Linked DNA regions of Coturnix japonica. The protein of the gene in region 1 interacts with the protein of each later gene in a pairwise test. Links are inferred from orthologs where the notes say so. Each region holds a gene or a part of one and is shown in the gene's direction. Other genes may lie near its edges.

Region 1 (4,802 bases):
TACTGCCCCCCCAGGCCTTCCGCCTCGCCATCCCGGGCCCAGATCCCCCCGATCCCGGAAATATCGCCGCGGATGGGCCGGGCCTGATCTCCCCCGTTCTGTCCCGGTGCTGCCTCACGGCTCCGCCCGCGGATGGAGCCGATACAAGCCCGATCCGAGCCCGATGTAGGCCCGGAGCGCTGCCTCACCGTGACAGTCTCAGCGGGGCCGAGAGCGGAAAGGAACACGCATGCGCCGCGCTCTCACTTCCGGCCTCCCGAAGGCCCCCCCAAGCGCTGAGGGTGTCCACCGCGCTGCCTGTAGCAAGGTGCGCAAGGCCCCCAGTCAGGTCACCGAGAAAGGTGTCCGTAGTGATGCCTGATAGGAATTAGCCCTTTAACCTCAGCATCCCTGACATTAAATGGGCGCTGGGGCAGCCATGGAGCTCAGCTCCATCCCCTGCAGCTCCCACATGTGTCACACAGCAATGGGATTTACAGTGCTGATGGCTGGGATCATCCCCCGTGGATTAGCACAGGGCTCAGGCCATACTATGGGGCTGGTGGCACAGGGGGGACCAGGAGCCACAGAGCAGGGCTTGGCCATGGCTTCCTATTGCTATGAGTACAGCAGTCACCGTGCATTCACCCTGACAGCAGCCCATGGCCTTCCCTGGGTGCCCCCATGCAGCCTCATAATGGGGACGAGCAGCCTTTGTATTCATACACATGGAGGACAGGGGATGTTCCAGCAGGGCTTTCCCTGCTGCTCTGTGTGCTCACATTGAGCCCTGCTGCCATCAGCCCTTACTGCAGGCAGAGCCGTGAGGAGCTGGTCAGTCAGTGCTGCCCTTTGGAGCCGGGCTGTAAAGCTCTGGCTGGGATCCCAGGGAGCAAAATGAGTGTGTAAGTGAGTTCCACCCACGCTGCTCCCTGCAGAGCAAAGGGCTCGTGGTTCCAGCACAACGAGCTCCCAGCAGCTCCTTGTGCTGGGATCTGGGGCTCCAGCACACACAGCTCCGCTCACACCACGCTGCTCAGCACAACACTAACACTCTCTGATCCCACTGTGTTCCCTTGGTCCTGGATGGGGTTTGCTGAGGGCAGAGGCAGAGCAGGATGGCAGGACGCAGGCTGTGTCCCATACCCCACACAGCACCCAGCACTTAAGGCTGCTTGGAGGTCTCAGCACCCCAGGGGAGATGGGTGGAGGCTCCATTAGGTGCATCCCTCCATCAGACCAGGGGGCAACCTCAGGTCTGCCCACATCACACAGGGAGAAGGGAAGGAACAGGGGCTGTGAGCCATAGGATGGAGGAGAAGGAAAGAGCGTGGGGAGGTGTCAGCTCACAGCACAGTGTGCAATGAGGCTGAGGACCCCCCCGCAGCCACCCGAGCTTATTCTTCGCTGCTCCTGCGGTAACGTTTTCACCTTGTGCTGCGAAGGAGTCATTATGCCGAGCCGGGGTGGCGATTGGCTGGCTAAAAATGCCTCTGTAATCTCCGTGCTGATCTTTACCCCCTCCTCCCCATCTGCCGTGACCTTCCTCCCAATGTGCAGAACCAGCCCGAGTGAGACGGAGCCTCTGGGTTCCCAGCCATCACCCCGGCCACCCCCAGTGCCGCCCAGCATCCGCAGCCCAGCGCCCTCCCCGTGCCCTCCCATGGGCCCTGCAGCCTTTTGCCCAAGGTACCGACGCGTCCCCGGGGCTCCCGGCATGTTCTGGCTCCAGATGTTGGCAGTGGGGGGCTCCCGGTGGGCGGTGGGTGATGGGGATGGTGGTGGCCCTGCTGTATGGATGGGACGCTTGGTATCGGCGTGTTGCTGTGCACCCTGGTGGAGGTGTCAGCCCTGTAATGCTCCTGGACCTGGGAGGTGAGATTCTGGCATAGCAGCTCAGTGCTGCCTGGTTTATGACATTGCCAAACTTCTCTAGGACTGGGGATTGCTTACTATCTTGTGCCTGAGCTCGGGGGGCTGCTGTCAGGTGGGTCTCATCTGAGGTTCTGTGGCATCTCGTGGCTCGCCCCCGCTCTATACGTTATGCAAAAGCTGCATCAGCTCAATAACAGCCCCAGGAGTGCCCCAAGGCCAGGCTCACTCTGTCAGCTGGGGGCTGGCACCATTGTGCTGCTCCATGGAGAACCCGCAGAGCATCCCGCACCAGGAACGGGGTCCCTCCAGCTCCCCACAATGGATAAAAGAGGGCTGGGAGCCAAAAAGCCGCCCTGAACAGCCTGCAATTGTCAGGGCTGTCAGCGCTGAGCAAACGGAACGATTGTGCTCATCTTCCCTCTGCCTCCTTGCTGTGCGCTTGGCATCCTCTGACTTGCCCGGTGAGAAATTCAGGATCCTCAGCACTGGGTGCAAAGAATTGCTCCTTTAGAAGAACCAGGATGGGTCACCGATAGGACGAGGAGGGGAAAAGCAGACCCAGGGATGCAGCAATGACTGCAGGGGAGAAACGCATCTCCTGGCCCCACGCCCTGACCAGGATTGCTGCCCTTGTCCTTCCCATCCCGCTGCTCTGCACACATCTCCTCTCTGCCATTCTTGCTCCTTGCTCACAAACAGCCAAGCAAGCACTTTGCTAAACGGATTAGAGCTGTGCTCCTCCTGCAGCCTCCCCGAGCTGCTCCCGCTGGGTGCTGCATTGCCACAGATCACAGATATGGGACACAGCAGTTCCTGCACTATGGGCTGCCCCTGAGCTGTGGGGCACGGTGACCTTACACTGAGATGTGGCTCCTGCAGCTGGGGGCTCACAAGGCAACAAACAACCCCATGCAGCAGTTCTGGGTAGGCAGGACTATGGTGGCACTGCTGGTGGTGAGGATGTGTTGTATCCCCACTCCTCCTCAGCTCAGGGATGAGAGCTGGAAAAGGGAGAGGAGAGGCTTGGGAAGGAGATTAACGCTGCAAAGGGGAATTTATCAGTGGCTGAATGCCAGGGCTGCTGCTGACAGCACTGAGCCTGTTCTGGGTGCTCGCAGCCGTGTCCCCATCCCCTCCTGCCCCTCTTGGCCATCGCTGCCTCTTCCTGTGTGGGATGGATTTAACTAAAGGGATTGAGGAAAGGCAGCCCGGGTGGCTGCAGGAGCCTCACGTGCAGCTCTGCCCCATGGACAGACTTTGTCCCCGGTGGGGCAGCGAGCAGGGCAGTGCTTGTGCAACGGCATGAAGGCAAATAGAGGAGCCTTGGAGAAGGCACTTCCCCTATGGGGCACAGCAGCAGGGGGGAAAGGAGGCAGCGACCCCAACATTGCCATGGCTGTGAGCAATAGGGACACGCTGCTCCCAGCTGCTGCCCACAGCAGACCCCACACACAGGCATTTTCCCAATAAAAAGGAGCCTTTATGTCCCGGCCCCTGCCCCGGAAGGGGCTCACAGGCCGCCTTGGGGCTGGGTATGGGCAGACAAAAAGGGGATTGTTGTGGTGGGAGCTGGGCTGCTGGCAGCACCTGCCCCACGTCGGGGGCCCTTCACAATGACCGGCTTTCTGCATAACTGCTGCAGAGGGGCCAATTATCCTCCGATGCTAATTAGAGATGCAAAATAGCCTCGTGTTTGCATTCTCCCAGCAAGCCGGAGTGTTCCTGGGACCTGCAGCACATCTGTAGCTGATGCAGGGCACAAACATGGGGCTGCTGCACCAGCAGTGCAGTCAGGATGATTTGCTTCTCAGTTCACCGTGGTGCTCGAAGAATCTTAATTTCAGAGTGCCAAGAAGCCACATAAATCAAGGCTAATTTCCTGCCAATACTGCCCGCTGCTTCCCATGGGGAAACTCATTTTATTGAAGGGGGAAATGAGTTATTGCAGGAAATAGTGACCGCTGGGATGGTGCACAATGGGGGAGGGTTTGTCATGGCCTTGTTTGTGCCACAGCATCCAGCTGGCACTCACTGCAGGGCTCTGAACTGCAGGGCTCCATGTATCACAGGGTCACTGGAATCCCCCACCACCCCCCAGTGTTTAATGCCAAGAGCATTTGCTCCCCTGTGCCCAGATGCTGCCGGGGCTGAGGACCCTGAAATGGCAAAAAGCAAAGACCAAATGATGCTGCAGGAGCCTGAGCCCCCCCGCTCTGTGTTGGGGCAGCATTATTTCACCTGGGTCTCACGCTGCCTCCTCCCCTGCAGCCAGCACAGAGCCCTGAAATATTTCAGGACCTTTCTGGCTTGCTAAAGGTTGGAAGACGTGCTCAGATGGCACACAGACCCACCAAGCTTCATTAAGGAATGGAAGGCGCTCATTAGGGGAAAGCTGATCCAGGCTGAGCCTCATGGGAGCGGGTTGCATTCTGTGGGCAACCCGATCTGGGCAGCTGCAGCCCGACAAGCAGCCAGCCTCATTACTGCAGCTCCTGTGGGCGGCTTCGGTTACTCAGCCCGAGCCGTTCGTCTCCTGCCAGCTTTGAATTTCCCTGACATCACCCCGAGCTGGGGGAAAACGCAGGCAATGGGGAGTGGGAGAGCCCACCCGCACCATGGCTCCAGCTGCTGCTGCCCATAGGGCTCACGGATGTGGCACAATGGGATGAATGCCCAGACACAACCCTGGGGTTTGGGAGGAGGCACTGCCTGGCTCCATGGCCTTGGAGCAGCAGCTCATGGGGTGCAGCAGCTCATGGGGTGCAGCTACTCTGCCCCTTCCCCATCCCATGTTTCTATGTAGCTCTTGCACCAGCTCCTTCCCTGCTGGCACATTTGGCAGCGAGGCGGCACCAGCTGCATCTCCAAAGGTGTTCTGGGGTGTTTGTTTCTATAAGAGCTCAGCCATGAAACCCTCCCCACTGCACCAGGGGGAGGAGTGGAGGGAG
Region 2 (4,927 bases), on another chromosome or scaffold:
CTTTTTTTTTTCTTTTTTCTTTTTTTTTTTTTTTTTAAAGGGAGAAATGGCCCAATGAGGGTACAATTCTAAAGGATACCAAAAGCTGGATGATAAAACTCGTTAACTTGCTCAGCCCACTTGCAAGCTAACCAACATCAGACTGACTGGAAATAACTCTGGAAAACGTTCCTTGAAGAAATTAGTTCTAACCCAGTGTTTTGTGAGGCACAATAAGGCAATGCTGTCTGCAGTGTGCAGGTCTCCACCACCAACACCCCATCTTTCATCTCGGCTCCAAGGGCTGAACTGCTGCAACGTGGCTTCTGCATTTCAGGAATGTGACTCCAGTCCTTGACCTCGTCTGTAGATAAATATGACGTCTCTTTTACTGCTGAGTGGCTCAGGAAGAATTTCAGCCAGGTAGAGGTGGGATAAAGGAATTACAGGTGAGGATGTTTTTCATCCTCCCTTTTGGAACCAGGCTCTTGTCTTTACCTACAGGACTTTGGTCTGGGCAGGAGCGCCCAGCACTTCCGGGATGGTGCAGTGAAGCCGTTTGCAAAGGCTGAGACGTGAAGCTGCCATCAGGAAATGGGCTTTTGGGGCACCCCTTCTGGGCAGAGCACAGCAGGGCACCATGTTCAGGACTGGAGGATGGCGCTTTGCTCAGATTTGAGGAAGCCCGTGTGAATTCTCCACTATGTAAAGGTGGGATCAAACTTCTGAAGGGATCCAGAGAGATGAGGGCGTTTCAGATGTAGCAGGTGAAGGCACAGCCCACTGCCTCACAAAGCTGAGTGCTCTTGTAAATGTGACATAATCCAATTAGTCAATTACCTCGGTGACATTTCCGCAGGCTCGTGTACCGGGGAAGCAGATTTATAAGGATGGCTATTTCTAGCAAAGGCCATTTATGTCCTGGTGAACAACCCGCCCTCAGTCACTCTGATGGCGAGGTGTGATGCAGCTCTCAGCATCCCGCGCCGTGCCCAGGTGTGGAGGGTGAGGACATGCATAGATACACCCCCACGGCTTCATTGAGGCGAGGAACACAGCGGGCTCGGCAGGAATATCGCTGTCAGAGCCGCCCTGAGCACATCGTGGACCTGGGACTGACAGCGGTAACTCGAAGTGGAGCGCTGAGGAACCGGATCCCGATAACGGCTGGAACCCGACTCCCGCCTCACACAGCACGCGAGCCGCCCGCTCGGATGGAGGCACATGATGTCGATGCTGCACGGCCGGCCTCGTTTCCCCAATGCCGGGCAGCAGATCGGCGCTTCAAAGAAAAACGGGGCTCACGTCAAGCTCCGCGTGCGGAGCTGGGCAGCAAATCCCCCACACACGTGCCAAGCCGACGAGGCCGGATCCCCGACCGGCCATGAGCGCAGCCCCGCCCGCACCGCGTCCCGCCGCCACGCGGCCCCGCCCCTCCCTGACAGCCCGCTCCTCCCGCCGCGCCCACCTTGCCGCTGTAGGAAGCTCTACAGCCAATCGCCGCACGTTGTCGCGCTGACGGGCGACCGAGCTCGCCTATCGCGAGGCTTTTCCTAACGCGCGACCCCGCCTCCTCGGGTACCGCGGCCAATCGGGACGGAGATGGGCCGTAGTGGGAGCTGAGGAGCGGAGGGCTCGCGAGCGCCGCCTTCCCTCAGCGCTCGGCTCTGCCCGCTGCAGGATCGCCCCTCCGGCCGCGGGTGATTGACGCGGAGCGGCGGCCAATGGGAGGTGCGGGGCGCGCGGCTCAGCCAATGGGACGGCGGGGGGCGGGCCGCGCCCGGCCGGGGGGCGGTGGGTCGGGCCGGGCCGGGGCGAGACGCTGCGCGTTGCCGGCAGGAGGGCGATGGTGGCGGCGTGAGGCGCGGCGGGACCCGCGCGGGCTGCCCGGCCGGCGGGGCTGTGCGGCCACGGGAACGCGGGGGAACGGCCGCGGGGCGCCGCCAAGGCGATGGGCGGTGTCGGTGTCGGGGCCGCCTCTCGGCTCGCCGCGCAGTGCCAGCGCCCGCCCCGGGGAACGCCGTGAGAGCGGCTGCAGGTGAGCGCCGCGCCCGCGGGAGCCGCCCCGGGCCTTCCCTGCCGCCCCAGCCCCGCCGCCCCTCGCTCCCTCCTCCCCGGCGGCGTGTTCGTCCTTAACGCCCGGGGCTGCGGGGGACGCGGGGCTGACGGCGGCCGGGCGCGGGGTGGCGGGGAAGCCCCGTTGGGCTGCAGCTCAGCGCCCCGCGCCGCCCTCCCGCCGGGCTCCGGAGCCCGCCGCCGCCTCCTCCGGCCCGGGTCGGACGGCGGCCTGCGGGGCAGCCGGGGCCGCCCTGCCCTGCCCTGCCATGCCATGCCCTGCCATGCCATGCCCTGCCGTCCCTCATCGTGCCCCGAGCCGGCGGTCCCGCGGTAGCGCTCCCCTCTGTCCCGCTCCTTCTGCCCGGCACGAGGCGTGGGGTGCGTGTGTGATGGGGGGCAGCCGGCACGGCTTTTGTCAGCGCCGCGGAGACAAAGAAAAGCGGCTCCCCGCATCCCGCCCCGCTTCCAGGGGTGCCGCCGGACCCCGCTGCCCCGCCGGTCGCTGCTGCCGGCGGTGCCGGTGCCGCTAAAAGGACGCGTCGATACGCCTCCAAACGGGCTCGCGGTTCGCATTTCTAGAATTGCTGCAGCCGTATAAATCCGTGTATTCGTTCGGGGTGACGGGACGGGCTCTGGCGGTGCGGCTCGCGGTCCTTGTGCGGAGGGTTCCGGGCTGGGAGCGATGGCAGCGTGCCGCCCACTAACCTGCATCTTCCACGGCCTTTTTGTCTCCCAGTCCTGCAGTCTCCACGCCGTCCGCCGTGTGAGGGATGCTCATGGTTCCGTGAGAGAACTTCCTCGCCTCTTTTGCTCACTTGCAGCCCCTATTGCCTGCTGCTCCTGGACGGTGATGAGCCATTCAGCCGCACTGGGATCTCTACTGTGAAGAAAAGAGGGGCGAAATATGAGTTGTAGACATCCTCTCGAGCTTCTTGTTCATTGTTTTTCCTGCATCTGTATATAAACCTGCTAGTACTGAGCACGCGCTCTTACGCATACGTGGGTGTTCTTGCGACTGTGCCACAGGACCAGTGGTGTTCCTCGCAGTCATGGCTTCAGTTTGGAAAAGACTGCAGCGTGTTGGGAAACATGCGTCCAAGTTCCAGTTTGTGGCCTCCTACCAGGAGCTGATGGTGGAGTGCACCAAAAAATGGTAAGGAGTGACTCGCTGCTGCCCAAACACGGAGTGAGTTCTTGATGCTGAAACTGAAGGCTCTTGCTCGTTGCATGTTGTTCGGGGTGTGCGTGGCCTCACTTCCCTCACCTGCCCATCGCAGAAGCGGCTGTGTAAGGTGTGTGGTGTCTGGAGCATGGTGCTGCAGCTTGGGCCTGTTGGTTTTGCTCTGCGTTGAGATTCTCTTTGCTGATGTTATTACATGGGACAGTGCTTTTATGAGCTTGACACCTGTAGCTTAGTGGCTTTTTTTTTTGCTGTTCATTTACCTATACTATATGTATTTTCCAAGAGTCCTTTTGTGGCCTGCAGCTTGCTCTTGGGGCTGGCTGTCCCCTTCCGATGCTGACTTTAGCTGGCTGAGCCATTTGGGCTCAGCTCTGAGCACGGTGTTGCTGTCATCTGGTTTTGATTTTGACTCCTTTACCTGAAGGATGTCTCGTCTCTCCTCTTTCCTTTCCAGATTCTAAAGGAAAGAGATGAGAGGTGGGTCCTTGGGAATTGTCTGAAGGCACTTGTTTAGTTGGGCAGGAATTTCGTGCAGCAGCGGTCCAGTCGGATGGCTTTGGAGCTGACTAGACAGCAGTTATGGTAATTGAGTGGCTCTGGCACAGGCACGTCTTGCTTCCTGTGCTAAATGAACTTAAGTGCATCTGATGGGGGCAAGACTGGAAACAGTTTTTATAGTCTGCTAGCAAACATCTCCGTTATACAAATACCGGAATGCTTTTATACCTGAGGAATATTGATGTTGTAATTCCTCACATTAGCATGAGCCTGTAGTACCAGGGCATGGAGGAAGTACTTTGCAGTCCTTGTGGATGGAGACGTTCAAACCGCCCTGAAACAATCTGCAGCCTCCTTCTAATACTGGCTTTGTCCTATTGTCCTTGCATTGGCTGACTTTGCTGGTTATGAGTAATTGCCTCTGTAAATTCAAATGGTATCTTATGGAGTTGGAAATGTCAGTCAGATGTGCTGGAAGGCTGCTTGCTGCTCTGCTGTAAAGGAACACCGCTGGCTTAGTTGTGTGCTTATTTCTACCAAGCTACCTGCTGGCCTCAGGTGTCTCCAAAGATGGTGAAGAAACAGAATTATTTTGGAATTGGAACATTCTTTCGCTGAACAAACTTATGAATAAAAATAGCTTAAAGGTTGAAAGAGACTGTCACGGTCACCTCAGGTGACCAACCATCCAGCTCAGGCCCAGGAGTTCTCCATTGTAATCAGGTTTATTTCAGCATTGTGTGAGTAATGTCTTATGCCTTGTCATCTTTCATTTCTCCTTCACACCAACTCATCTCTTTTGGCTCTCATTTTCACTTTCACTCCTTCCACGTGAACATGCAGAACTCTTCAGTACTGAAGTACGAACGTTCAGATTGGATCTGCAGCCTCTTCTCACTTAAGAAAGTCACACACAAAAGTTCTCTTGTCAGCAATCGTGTTATTTTAGAAACAATTAACTTCTTGTTCCATCACAGTGTGACCACCTAGCAATATGCCAGCATGGTGAGTGGTCATGCTGCCTTCAAAGCCTCAGCTGTGCATAAATATATATATATATATAAGCTTTTTTTTTTTTTTTTTTGCTTTACATCCTTTGATGTAACGTGCTGGGTTGGTGCTCGCATTTGTTGTAAGGGAAGAGAGGAATGGTGCTGAAATGCGGATGAATTCTAGGAAAAAAAACAATGGGGAAAAATATCATTCACA
Region 3 (4,700 bases), on another chromosome or scaffold:
CGAGTTCTTACATTGCATTGCAGTGCATGCTCCACAAATCCCCTTAGGCTCTTCCATCATAGGAGTGAACGGTTTTGGACATGGGCAATCTGTGTTACTGCTCCTGGAACTCTGGAGCAGTGTTGAGATGGTGATTTCAGGGATTGATGACAGTCATTCACTGTGCTGTATAAAATAAAGCAAATGTAATAAGCAGATACTATTTTGTTGTTCACTGCTGGGTTGTGGCAGCCTTTATATACTCTAAGAATGTTGTATTATAGGAATTGAAGAGAAAATACTATCAAACAGAAAACATTTAGGCATTGCTGCTAGGGAATAAACTAATGTGAAACAGTGAAGCTATTGGGAAAGGGTGAGAGAAACTGGAACAGGACTGCAGGCGGTGAAGAAGATGGTCAGAGCCCTGCTCTGCAGGACAGCCACAAGGACGTCACACCTTCCTTCAGGTGTAGCACAACACAGTGAGATGCAGGAAGTTCTTGCAGGTTCCTGGAGCAGAACAGCAAAGTTTGCTCTTGAGGTGGGAACATCTTTGGGGTTTGGTAGAGGTTTTGTGTTTGTGCAGCTTTAGCATGTGTTCTAGGGTAAAAATTTAGATTTAGGATTAAAAAGGGGGGGATTAAAAATGTACCAAACGCATGACATACAGTGCTATGAAATTGAGACCCTGTGGTTAAATAGAATCATAGAATCACTGAATGGTTTGAGTTGGAAAGGATCTCAGATCCTCCCAGCCCCAACCCACTGCCATAGGTAGGGCTGCCACCTACTACATCAGGCTGCTCAGGGCTCCATCCAACCAAGGATGGGACATGCACAGCTTCTCTGCGATCACCATTCATTTCTGGTAGTTCTGGTAAGTGAGACTGAATCTGAGAGACCAGTTCCCTTGCAAAATAATGTATGCAAGCCAGCCTGTTTATTCTCATAGGGGTACAAGTGGCTCATTACCATGACACGTGTTTCAAATGACCAGAGACAATTACTGAGCTGTGGTGACTCAGTGAACTTTTACCCATGTTAACAGGGATCCGTAATGCTTTGCTTCTGCAGAATATTGTTTTCATGGCCAGCTGCCTCCCTCAGCATCAAGCCCTCTCTGTATGACAGGGATGGGAAGGAAGAAATAGAAAGCAGTGCTCTCAACTTCTGCTGATCTGCCAGGACCTGAGGAGAATCCTCACACTGTCAAAGGGAGATGGCCAAGGCAGCTCCCCTACCCTCAGCTCTGTGATGGGGTTTCACCCCACTTAGCCTTCCCATTCTGTGCTTTGGCGGTGGCCTGGCCCTTCTGCCACCACAACCCGGAACACAAGGTGAAGCGAACAGAGAGGCTTGGAAGAGAAGCAGAGGAACTCCTGAAATGCCTGCGAGGGGCCAGGGTGCCCAAAGCGAGGCACGTCGGAGAATGAGCACATCCTCCAGTAATATAAGCCCAAGCTAGCTTTCCTTACACGCACAGTGTAACAGTTGCTGTGCCGGGGGACGTGCAGCGCTTCTGACACCGTTGAGACTTTAAGGCACCGCCGACCACGCGGGTTGAGGAGACGGCGAGGGTCCGCCGGGACACCCCGCCGAAGCCTCCATCTCCCGCTGGTGCCCGCACGGTGCGTGGGCGGCGGGGGCGGCCGTGTTTGTGTTTGTCCCGAGCGCTCACATGGAAACGGCTCCGCGTGCGCCCTCGCCCCCGCACGGGCCGGTGAGAGGAGAGCGGGCAGCTGCGGAGCCACCCGCCGCTCCCTCCCCGAGTGCCCGCAGGTAGGAGGGCCTGGCCGACCAGTCACGGCTCGGGCGGCGCGTCCGTGCCGGCCCTGCAGGCGGCCGTCGTTCTCCTTCCCTCCCTCCTTCTCAACGGGCTCCCGCCCCAAGCCGGGAGTGCCGCCCGCCGCGGAGCGGGGAGCGGTAACTTTGCCCTTTCCCCGCCCCGCCAGCGGCTGCGGGAGCGCGGCCGGGCCGGGGGAAAAGCTTTCGGGTGTGGGGAGACAGTGCTCATAGCTGCCCTCTGCTTCCTTCTCCTCTTCGACCTTCGCTTCTCCTGGCGCCGGGACCCTTCAGAACGCCCATGGAGACCCTCGTCCGCCCCACGGCCGGCAAGCCGCCCACCGGGTAAGTCACCCCCGAGCCCCGGCTTCGGTCTCCGAGCGGCCGTCTTCACTGCCGGCAGGTGCCGGGGCCCCGCCGTGCAGCCCGGCCCGGGCACGGGGCGAGGGAGTGGGGCGGCGCTGGGGCCGGGGTGCGGGCTTAGGGCCGCTGGGCCGAGCGGGCGGCCCGAATGGCTGGAGGGAGTGGGAGAGGGTTTGCAGCGGGGCGGGTCGGGGGGTCGACCGGTGGTGAGATCGCTTTGATCGGAGTGGGAGCAAGGCGGGTTTGAGGCTGTGCTGAACGCTCGGTGCAGTTTACTGCTCTGCTTCATGCTGCCCGCTCGCATTGAGGAGGACTGTGGTTGGTTCTGAAGTTTTTTATTTATTTGAAGTTCCATTATTCGTGTCATAAATTCAGTTAAATAAAAAGCAGCGTTAAAGTACGTGCTTGAGGGCTTTTCGTTTTTTAATCTTTGGTTTCCATCGTTTCTTTATTTGATGGGAAGTCTTGTAGTGAGTGACTCAAAATTAGAACAGGGGGCAGTGGGTGAAGAGAAGATGCCAAGATGCTGCAGTAATAGAACTGTGTGTAATGTTTCTTGGACTTGGGAAGTAAGGCTGCTGGCTTCCTCTGTGAGCACTTTGAAGAATAAGAAGCACTCCTCTCTCTGTAATGCTCATTAAAATCTTGTCCTGTTTGCTGGGTATCCAGAGTTTTGTTAGAGTCTGGAATGAAAAAAAACTGCTTGTTTCTGCGTCTCGGAGCTCAGCAATATACTGAATAGAACTCACAGACAGCTAGTTTTGTCTCTGTGAGTGTGGAGCTGGTTCCATGAGCAGATGGTTACTACGTGGATGGCCAGAAGTTGCTGTAAGTGCATTAACTTCGGTTGAAGAACTCCCAGCGTAGCCCAAGGAGCAGAGCCTGTCCTAAGGTTACACTACACTTGGGATATTGCGCAACGATATGCTGGTGGCAAAGCTGTTGTGTACTCAGCGGTAGTCTGCCCTAACTGAGTCTTTTTTAAGTGCTGAAGTGCTCCTGCTTTCCTTGGAAGCTGTAGAATCTCAGCCTGGATGTGCCCATGCTGTCGGCTGCGGATTTCACTGAGCAATACGTAATTCTCTGAATTTCCAGCATCAGTACTGGAAATCAATGGATGTTTGCTCCCTAATTAGGTTTTATTTGTTCCGTGAGGAAATTGGCCAGGAAAGCATTGCAAGAGGATAGCTTCTTCTGTCCTTGTCACTTCCCGCAGGGATCCAGATGTCAGCAGCATCTGTGGAACTTGTCTGGGAACATGGATTTTTAGATGACTGTGGCAGAACTGTGTTCCTTTTGCAGCGGAAGATCTGTGCTACACGTTCCCAGCTTGTTGATTGAGTTAGCAGGCAGTTCTGAAAGTAAGGGGTTAAAATGATCCCAGCTTTATAATTTTTAACAAAATTTAGGCAGAGCTGTTTTGTCTCTATGTAAATCATTAACAGTAATGTTGAGGGTTTTCCTTGTTAAACAGTGTGCTGATTTAATGTATCGTGCAGTAGAGTCCAGCAGCTCCGCTGTGTGCTCTGCACGGATAAACTGGCTGCATGTGTTCATGGCGCAGCTGCTGGGAATTGCACATTTAAAAGTAGGATGCTGATGGGTTTTTGTTTGTTTGCTTTTGTCTTAAATGGCGAAGGAAAAGATGCTGTTTGTGTTGTTGCTGCAGGGTTTTTCCTGTTGCTCTGTTTCAAGAATAACTGTGGACATCAGTCCGAAGAATCTTACTAACGCTAATGGCTAGAAGCTTTATTAAGTCCATAATGCCATGCTTAATTAACATTTATTTTAGGTTATGAATGTGAATTTAAGACACTGAATATGTTTAGGTTAGATATTAGGAGGAAGTTTTTCACTCAGAGGGTGGTGACGCACTGGAACAGGTTGCCCGAGGTGGTTGTGATGCCCCATCCCTGGAGGCATTCAAGGCCAGGCTGGATGTGGCTCTGGGCAGCCTGATCTGGTGGTTGGCAACCCTGCACATAGCAGGGGAGTTGGAACTAGATGATCTTTGAGGTCCTTTTCAACGCAGGCCATTCTATGAATTTATGATTCTACAAATACCAGTACATGGGATTTGCTCTGTAGTGTTGCAATGGGAGCATGACTGGAAGAGGGAAAAAACAGTTGTTGAAAACCTACTGCTTTGGTGTGTGCAGCTGCATTTATTTTGGTGGGGAGAACAGAGAAGAGGCCCCTGAATCTCCTGAATGTCCAACTGGTGACTTTATTGACTGTAGCAAGAAAAAAATGGCATCCATTGATCGTAAGTGACTTAGAGAACTCAACCCTAAAATAGGGACATGCAGGATCAGCTCTTGCATAGGACAGAGCTTTATCCTCTGTGAGTGCAAGCATTGTTGTCTCCCACTTGAGCCCACGGCATATGGGTGCTTCTTTGTGCTGCGATGCTGAGCACAGGGGCTTCCCCTGAAACCTTCAGCATAGGTGGGTGAAATGCCTACATAAAAAGGTGCCCATACAACTTTTTTAGTGTAGGACCTTTACTACTTGTACTGCAAACTCCTTCCCCGTCTCACAGGATCTTATCACAAACAGAGGCACATGCTAAC
Region 4 (4,722 bases), on another chromosome or scaffold:
GCCTGCAGACCTAGATCCATAATAGGGCTGTGATAGAATGGCTTAGGTTGGACAGGACCTTAAAGATAATCTAGTTCTACTCCCATACACTGGTCAGGGTTACCAGCTGCTGGGTTATGATCCCCAGGATCCCACCCAGCCCTGAGTGCCTTCAATTGGCATCCCCAACTTCTAACCAACCTGTTCCAGCATCTCCCTGCCTTATGAATGAAATATTTCTCCTTAACACATAACCTGAAGCATCGTGATGGTTTCAAACCCTTCTCTCCCTCATCTGAGGCTTCCCCAGCCTTGCTATAGTACCCCCTCCCTTGCAGCTGCCCTGTGTCTGGGTGCAGGGGTTTCAAGGATGTCAGTGCTCCTTGCCCTGCCTGGTGCTGGGCCCTCCCATGTTCCCCCCCCCCGGGCTGTAACTGCAGAGGTAACCCAATGCCAGTGTGTGTGTCCCCCCCCCCGTGTCGTGCTGTGGGCCAGCAGCAGTGAGACAAGGTACAGACAGGGCTGGTGTTGAGCTGGACCCGTAGCAGCAGCAGAAAAGCCTTCAAAGCTGCCCTCTGCAACAGCCACATCCCTACAGCCTGACCCCAGCGGGCAGATGAGGCTTTAAGGCTCAACCCAGGTACCACGGGACTGCTATGAAGAGCCTGAAGGCCAAGTTCAGGAAGGCAGATGTAAGTGCTGTCCCCAAGGACATAGGGATGTGTCCTGGGTTGTCCACAGGGATGTGGGGATCTGCCCTGGGGTGTCAGTGGGTTTCGTGGGGGTATGGGGACACAGAGATCTGCCCTGGGATGTCCCATGGGGACATGGGCACCTGCCCAGTGACCCAGCTTCCACTGGGATCATAGTTGTGAGCAGGGCAGAATAAAGGAAGGGAAAGCAGCACCGAGGAGAGGTGAATGTGTCCCAGATCCTGTACCCATTTCTGTCCTATGGGATGCAGGGATGGCTGCCAGCTTTCCAGCCACAGCAACCAGATTGGGTTCCCACTTTGAAGCCAGCAAGTCAATGCTCCTTAATTATTCAGCACCAGACTGGCACAATGCTGCATATTCCTGCTGTTCTCCAGGCTGGGAAGAAGGTGACAGTGCCGTCCCCACTGCCTATGGCAGCACCAGGGGGATGTGTAGGTGGAGGAGCCTGTGCATTTTGGGGTTCCCTCCTTGCAGGGGGTCACTGGTCCCCTAAGATTCAGGTGGGGGGATCCTGTGTCCCTCTTAGCCCCAGAGCGATGGGAGATCAGTTTCTGTCCCTCAGGGCAGGGTTGAGGTCCTACATCCTTCCTCCTCCTTGGGGAGCTGCTTGCAGGCAGTAGGAGGATGTTTGTCCCTATAGTTTGGGGATGCATCCTTTCCTCTTCTCGGGCACAGGGGTGAGAGAGCTACTCCTCCCCCCTCCACACACACACCCTCCCACTCTAATTGGGACCAGACTTGGTGCTTGGTGGGACCTCAGCACCCGCTCCGAGTCAGGGATGCAGGGATGCAGGGATGCAGGGATGTAGGGATGTAGGGATGTAGGGATGCAGGGATGTAGGGATGCAGGGATGTAGGGATGCAGGGATGTAGGGATGTAAGGCCGATGATAGGGAATGTAGGGATGTAGGGATGTAGGGATGCAGGGATGTAGGGATGCTGAAGCTCTGGGCTCCGAGGAGGGAGGGAAGGAAGGAGGGACGAAGGGACGGCAGGAGGCGGATCCCGGTTGTCACTGCGGCAGGACTCGGCCCCCGCCCCGGTGGCGGTACCGGACCGACCCGTGGTCTGGGGTCCTTAACCTGGAGCCCCGACCAGCCCAAGCTCAGGCAGAGAGGCAAGGGATGCATGGCTGCCCGCCGCCTCCTCCTCAACACCATGAAGCAGATCTGCCTCTGTGCCGCTGCATCCTTTGCGGTACGTCCCTCCATCCCCGCTCCCCTTCAGTCCTGCACATGGGGTAAGCTGTCACCCCCAACCCCCGTCCGGACCCCCTCTATTCCCAACCCTGTCCCCTGGGCTCTGCTGTATCCTCCCCGAGTTGCTTTGTCCTTGCAAGACAAAGGGGTGGGGGTGAGCATCACGCTCCCAGTTTGCCCAGTAACCCTGGGAGTCTGTTTTATTCCACACCCCACATCAGGGTCCCCTGGCCCTATATAGGACAGGTGCTGTGGCACAGGGATTCTGTCTAGCGCTGGGCATCAGCTGGTGAGGGGCAGGATGTGAGCTGTTCCCAGAGGTCACATCCATTTCCCAGCCGCAGCCAAGCTCTGGTTTGTTGTCCCAGGCTGTGGGGTGAGCCCCAGCTCCTGCTCTGCTGTGGGTCATTCCCTGAGGAAGGGATGTGTGGGGCCAATGGGCCAGCAAACCCTCACCTAGCCCCAGTTCTGCTCAGGAGCATCGTACCCAACACTGGGCTGCAGTCATCCCCAGGGACCTGAGCTCACTGTCAGCTCTGCTTGCCCTGACTTCACCCCTTCCTTGGAAAGGAGAAAAACAAGGCTGAAAATGGAGAGACCCAAGCAGGGATAGGGCTCAGGAACCCCTGTGTGCTGCCTATGGATAGCATCAGGGTCACTTGGGTGGCAGGAACAAACCCTGGGTGGGGGGCAATCAGGGAGCATCCAAGACCTTGGAACATTCAGAGCTAAACTGGGGCAGCTCTGCTACTTCCCCCATCTGTGAACTGCAAACAGGTTGGGGGATGAAGGGGAACCTCATTCAAATCAGATCTCCTAGATAAACCCTTCATGCAGCACAGCAGACACAGCAGCAGCTGGGAAAGTGCACCTAAGGGATAGAGTTGGGTGGGATAGAAGGGGAGGGGATGAGGATTAGTAACTGTGTCTAGTCCAACATCCTACTTGCCCCTGATGATAGCACAAGGATCACAGCCTCACGTTGGCTTCATTGCAGAGTCAGGACTGGACCAAGAACGATGAGAAGCTCTTGCAAGCTGTGGACTACAATGATGCTGGAAAGGTGGCATCCCTCCTCGTCCGCAAGGGTCTGGTCCCCACCAAGCTGGATTCAGAGGGCAAATCTGCGTAAGTGCTGGCCTGTGTCACCAGGGATACAGGGCTGTGATGGGGCTCAGGTGAGAGAGATGGGTCTGACAGCTCTGGGTCTTGCTGCAGGTTTCATCTGGCTGCCACCCGGGGGAATGTGGATTGCCTTGAAGCCATGCTGGCTCACGGTGTGGATGCCATGACCAAAGACAGCTCAGGTGAGGGCATGGCAACCATATACCCCTTTCTAATGCTGTGGTAGCCCTGCTCAGCCCAGCGGGTCCTGCTGTCCCATCTGTCCCCCTTGTGCTATCAACCCACTGTCTGTCCTCTGACCTGTCTGTCTGTCCCTCTCTGCAGGTTACACTGCCTTGCACCTGGCATCCAAGCACGGACACCCACAGTGTGTGAGCAAGCTGCTGCAGGTACTGGGGTTGGGAGGGAGGGTGTTGTACCTGGTGTCACACCACACTAAGCCCAGCACCTTAAGGGCAGCCCCAGCAAGGTGCCCTCTATCCCTGTTCTCCCTTCCCTCAGTGCTGGTGCTGGTTGGCATGATGGTTCCTGGCTCTATCTGGCACTGTTTGATTTGGGGCAGCCTTATAGCCCTATAGTAGCCACATGTAGCTTGCAGAGTCTATCTGTTCCCCACCCTGCTGTAACCCAGGCTCCCTCCCTTTCAGGCTTCCTGCCCTGTGGATGTAGCTGACAGCAATGGACAGACAGCACTTCACCACGCAGGTGAGTGAGGACAGTGCTAAACCCATCCTGCCCACATCCCCACATCAGGCAATGCTCACCTTCTGTCCTCCACAGCAATCAGTGGCTGCATATCGTGCTCAGAGATCCTCTGCGATTACAAAGCTCCCCTGAACATTAAGGACAAGGTGAGATCCTTCTGCTTCTCACCCTACAGAGCAGCAAAGATCCATGCTGGCTTTGAAATGCAGCTGCTTCTTGGGGTGTAATGGAGCAGCTGGCAGCACTTGGGGTCTCCAAAGCACTGCTATGAGAACACCCCAAAAGCAGGATGTGGAAATCAAGCAGCAGGGTGCCCTGAGATGGGGGATCTAAGCAGCATCCCCAGCTCACCCAATTTCTCTCTGCTTAGAATGGCTGCACACCATTGATCCTTGCTGCAAAGATGAGCCACTCAGAGCTCTGTCAGTACCTGCTGCACCACGGAGCAGCCATCAACAGCCGGGACCTGCAGGGGAAGTGAGTCTTTGCTGGTGGGAATTGGGGGCATATGGGGAGATGGATGGTCCTCTCACTTCTGCTCCCACCCCTCTGCTCAGGACAGCCCTGATGTTGGCCTGTGAGAATGGCAGCGTGGAGACAGTGGAGGTGCTCATCAATGCTGGTGCACGGGTGGCCTTGGTGGACTCGATGGGTCACGATGCTGCACACTACGGCCTGTCCACGGGCAATGCTCTCATCCAGCACTTCTTGCAAGAGGCTGCTCAGCGCCAGTCCTGGGCCAGTGGTAAGTGAGCACCCCAGTCTGGCTCTACATCCCATGCCCACCTCCATGATCCCCAAAACCTCCTTGATTTCTCTTTCCTCCCACTTTGCCCCACAGAAGAGGAATCATCTGAGCAGATGTCCCAGGTGAGGGTTGCCAAGCCTGACTCTTACCAGGATTGGAGGCACCTCAACCTCTGGGTGGGGGGCATTGGGGGGGCATTGGGAGTCCTCATGCTCTCCATGGTGGTGATGGTGCAGGAAGGGGGGAGGCC

Evidence for each region. The genes of interacting proteins can lie anywhere in the genome.
Region 2: the proteins of PACSIN1 (region 1) and EHBP1 interact in a two-hybrid assay, tested with the Homo sapiens proteins (2 studies listed by BioGRID and IntAct). The link is inferred for Coturnix japonica from reciprocal best matches to the Homo sapiens genes PACSIN1 and EHBP1.
Region 3: the proteins of PACSIN1 (region 1) and COBL interact in binary tests that used the Homo sapiens proteins (3 or more experiments, as listed by UniProt). The link is inferred for Coturnix japonica from reciprocal best matches to the Homo sapiens genes PACSIN1 and COBL.
Region 4: the proteins of PACSIN1 (region 1) and ANKRD24 interact in a two-hybrid assay, tested with the Homo sapiens proteins (2 studies listed by BioGRID and IntAct). The link is inferred for Coturnix japonica from reciprocal best matches to the Homo sapiens genes PACSIN1 and ANKRD24.

Annotation. Positions count from the first base shown.
Region 1 is NC_029541.1:4,229,980-4,234,781, reverse strand, and holds the start of PACSIN1 (protein kinase C and casein kinase substrate in neurons protein 1), read left to right. Parts: upstream 1-1,529; 5' UTR 1,530-1,668; intron 1,669-4,802. UniProt on the Homo sapiens protein: Plays a role in the reorganization of the microtubule cytoskeleton via its interaction with MAPT; this decreases microtubule stability and inhibits MAPT-induced microtubule polymerization.
Region 2 is NC_029518.1:2,281,512-2,286,438, reverse strand, and holds the start of EHBP1 (EH domain-binding protein 1), read left to right. Parts: upstream 1-1,872; 5' UTR 1,873-2,017; intron 2,018-2,773; 5' UTR 2,774-3,086; coding exon 3,087-3,190; intron 3,191-3,249; exon of another isoform or gene 3,250-3,264; coding exon of another isoform or gene 3,265-3,329; intron 3,330-4,927. UniProt on the Homo sapiens protein: May play a role in actin reorganization. Links clathrin-mediated endocytosis to the actin cytoskeleton. May act as Rab effector protein and play a role in vesicle trafficking.
Region 3 is NC_029517.1:49,563,113-49,567,812, forward strand, and holds the start of COBL (protein cordon-bleu), read left to right. Parts: upstream 1-1,645; 5' UTR 1,646-1,660; coding exon 1,661-1,761; intron 1,762-2,058; coding exon 2,059-2,109; intron 2,110-4,700.
Region 4 is NC_029543.1:1,706,660-1,711,381, reverse strand, and holds the start of ANKRD24 (ankyrin repeat domain-containing protein 24), read left to right. Parts: upstream 1-1,667; 5' UTR 1,668-1,823; coding exon 1,824-1,892; exon of another isoform or gene 1,893-1,935; intron 1,936-2,891; coding exon 2,892-3,022; intron 3,023-3,112; coding exon 3,113-3,201; intron 3,202-3,343; coding exon 3,344-3,408; intron 3,409-3,666; coding exon 3,667-3,724; intron 3,725-3,799; coding exon 3,800-3,870; intron 3,871-4,094; coding exon 4,095-4,201; intron 4,202-4,281; coding exon 4,282-4,469; intron 4,470-4,565; coding exon 4,566-4,594; intron 4,595-4,722. UniProt on the Homo sapiens protein: Component of the stereocilia rootlet in hair cells of inner ear.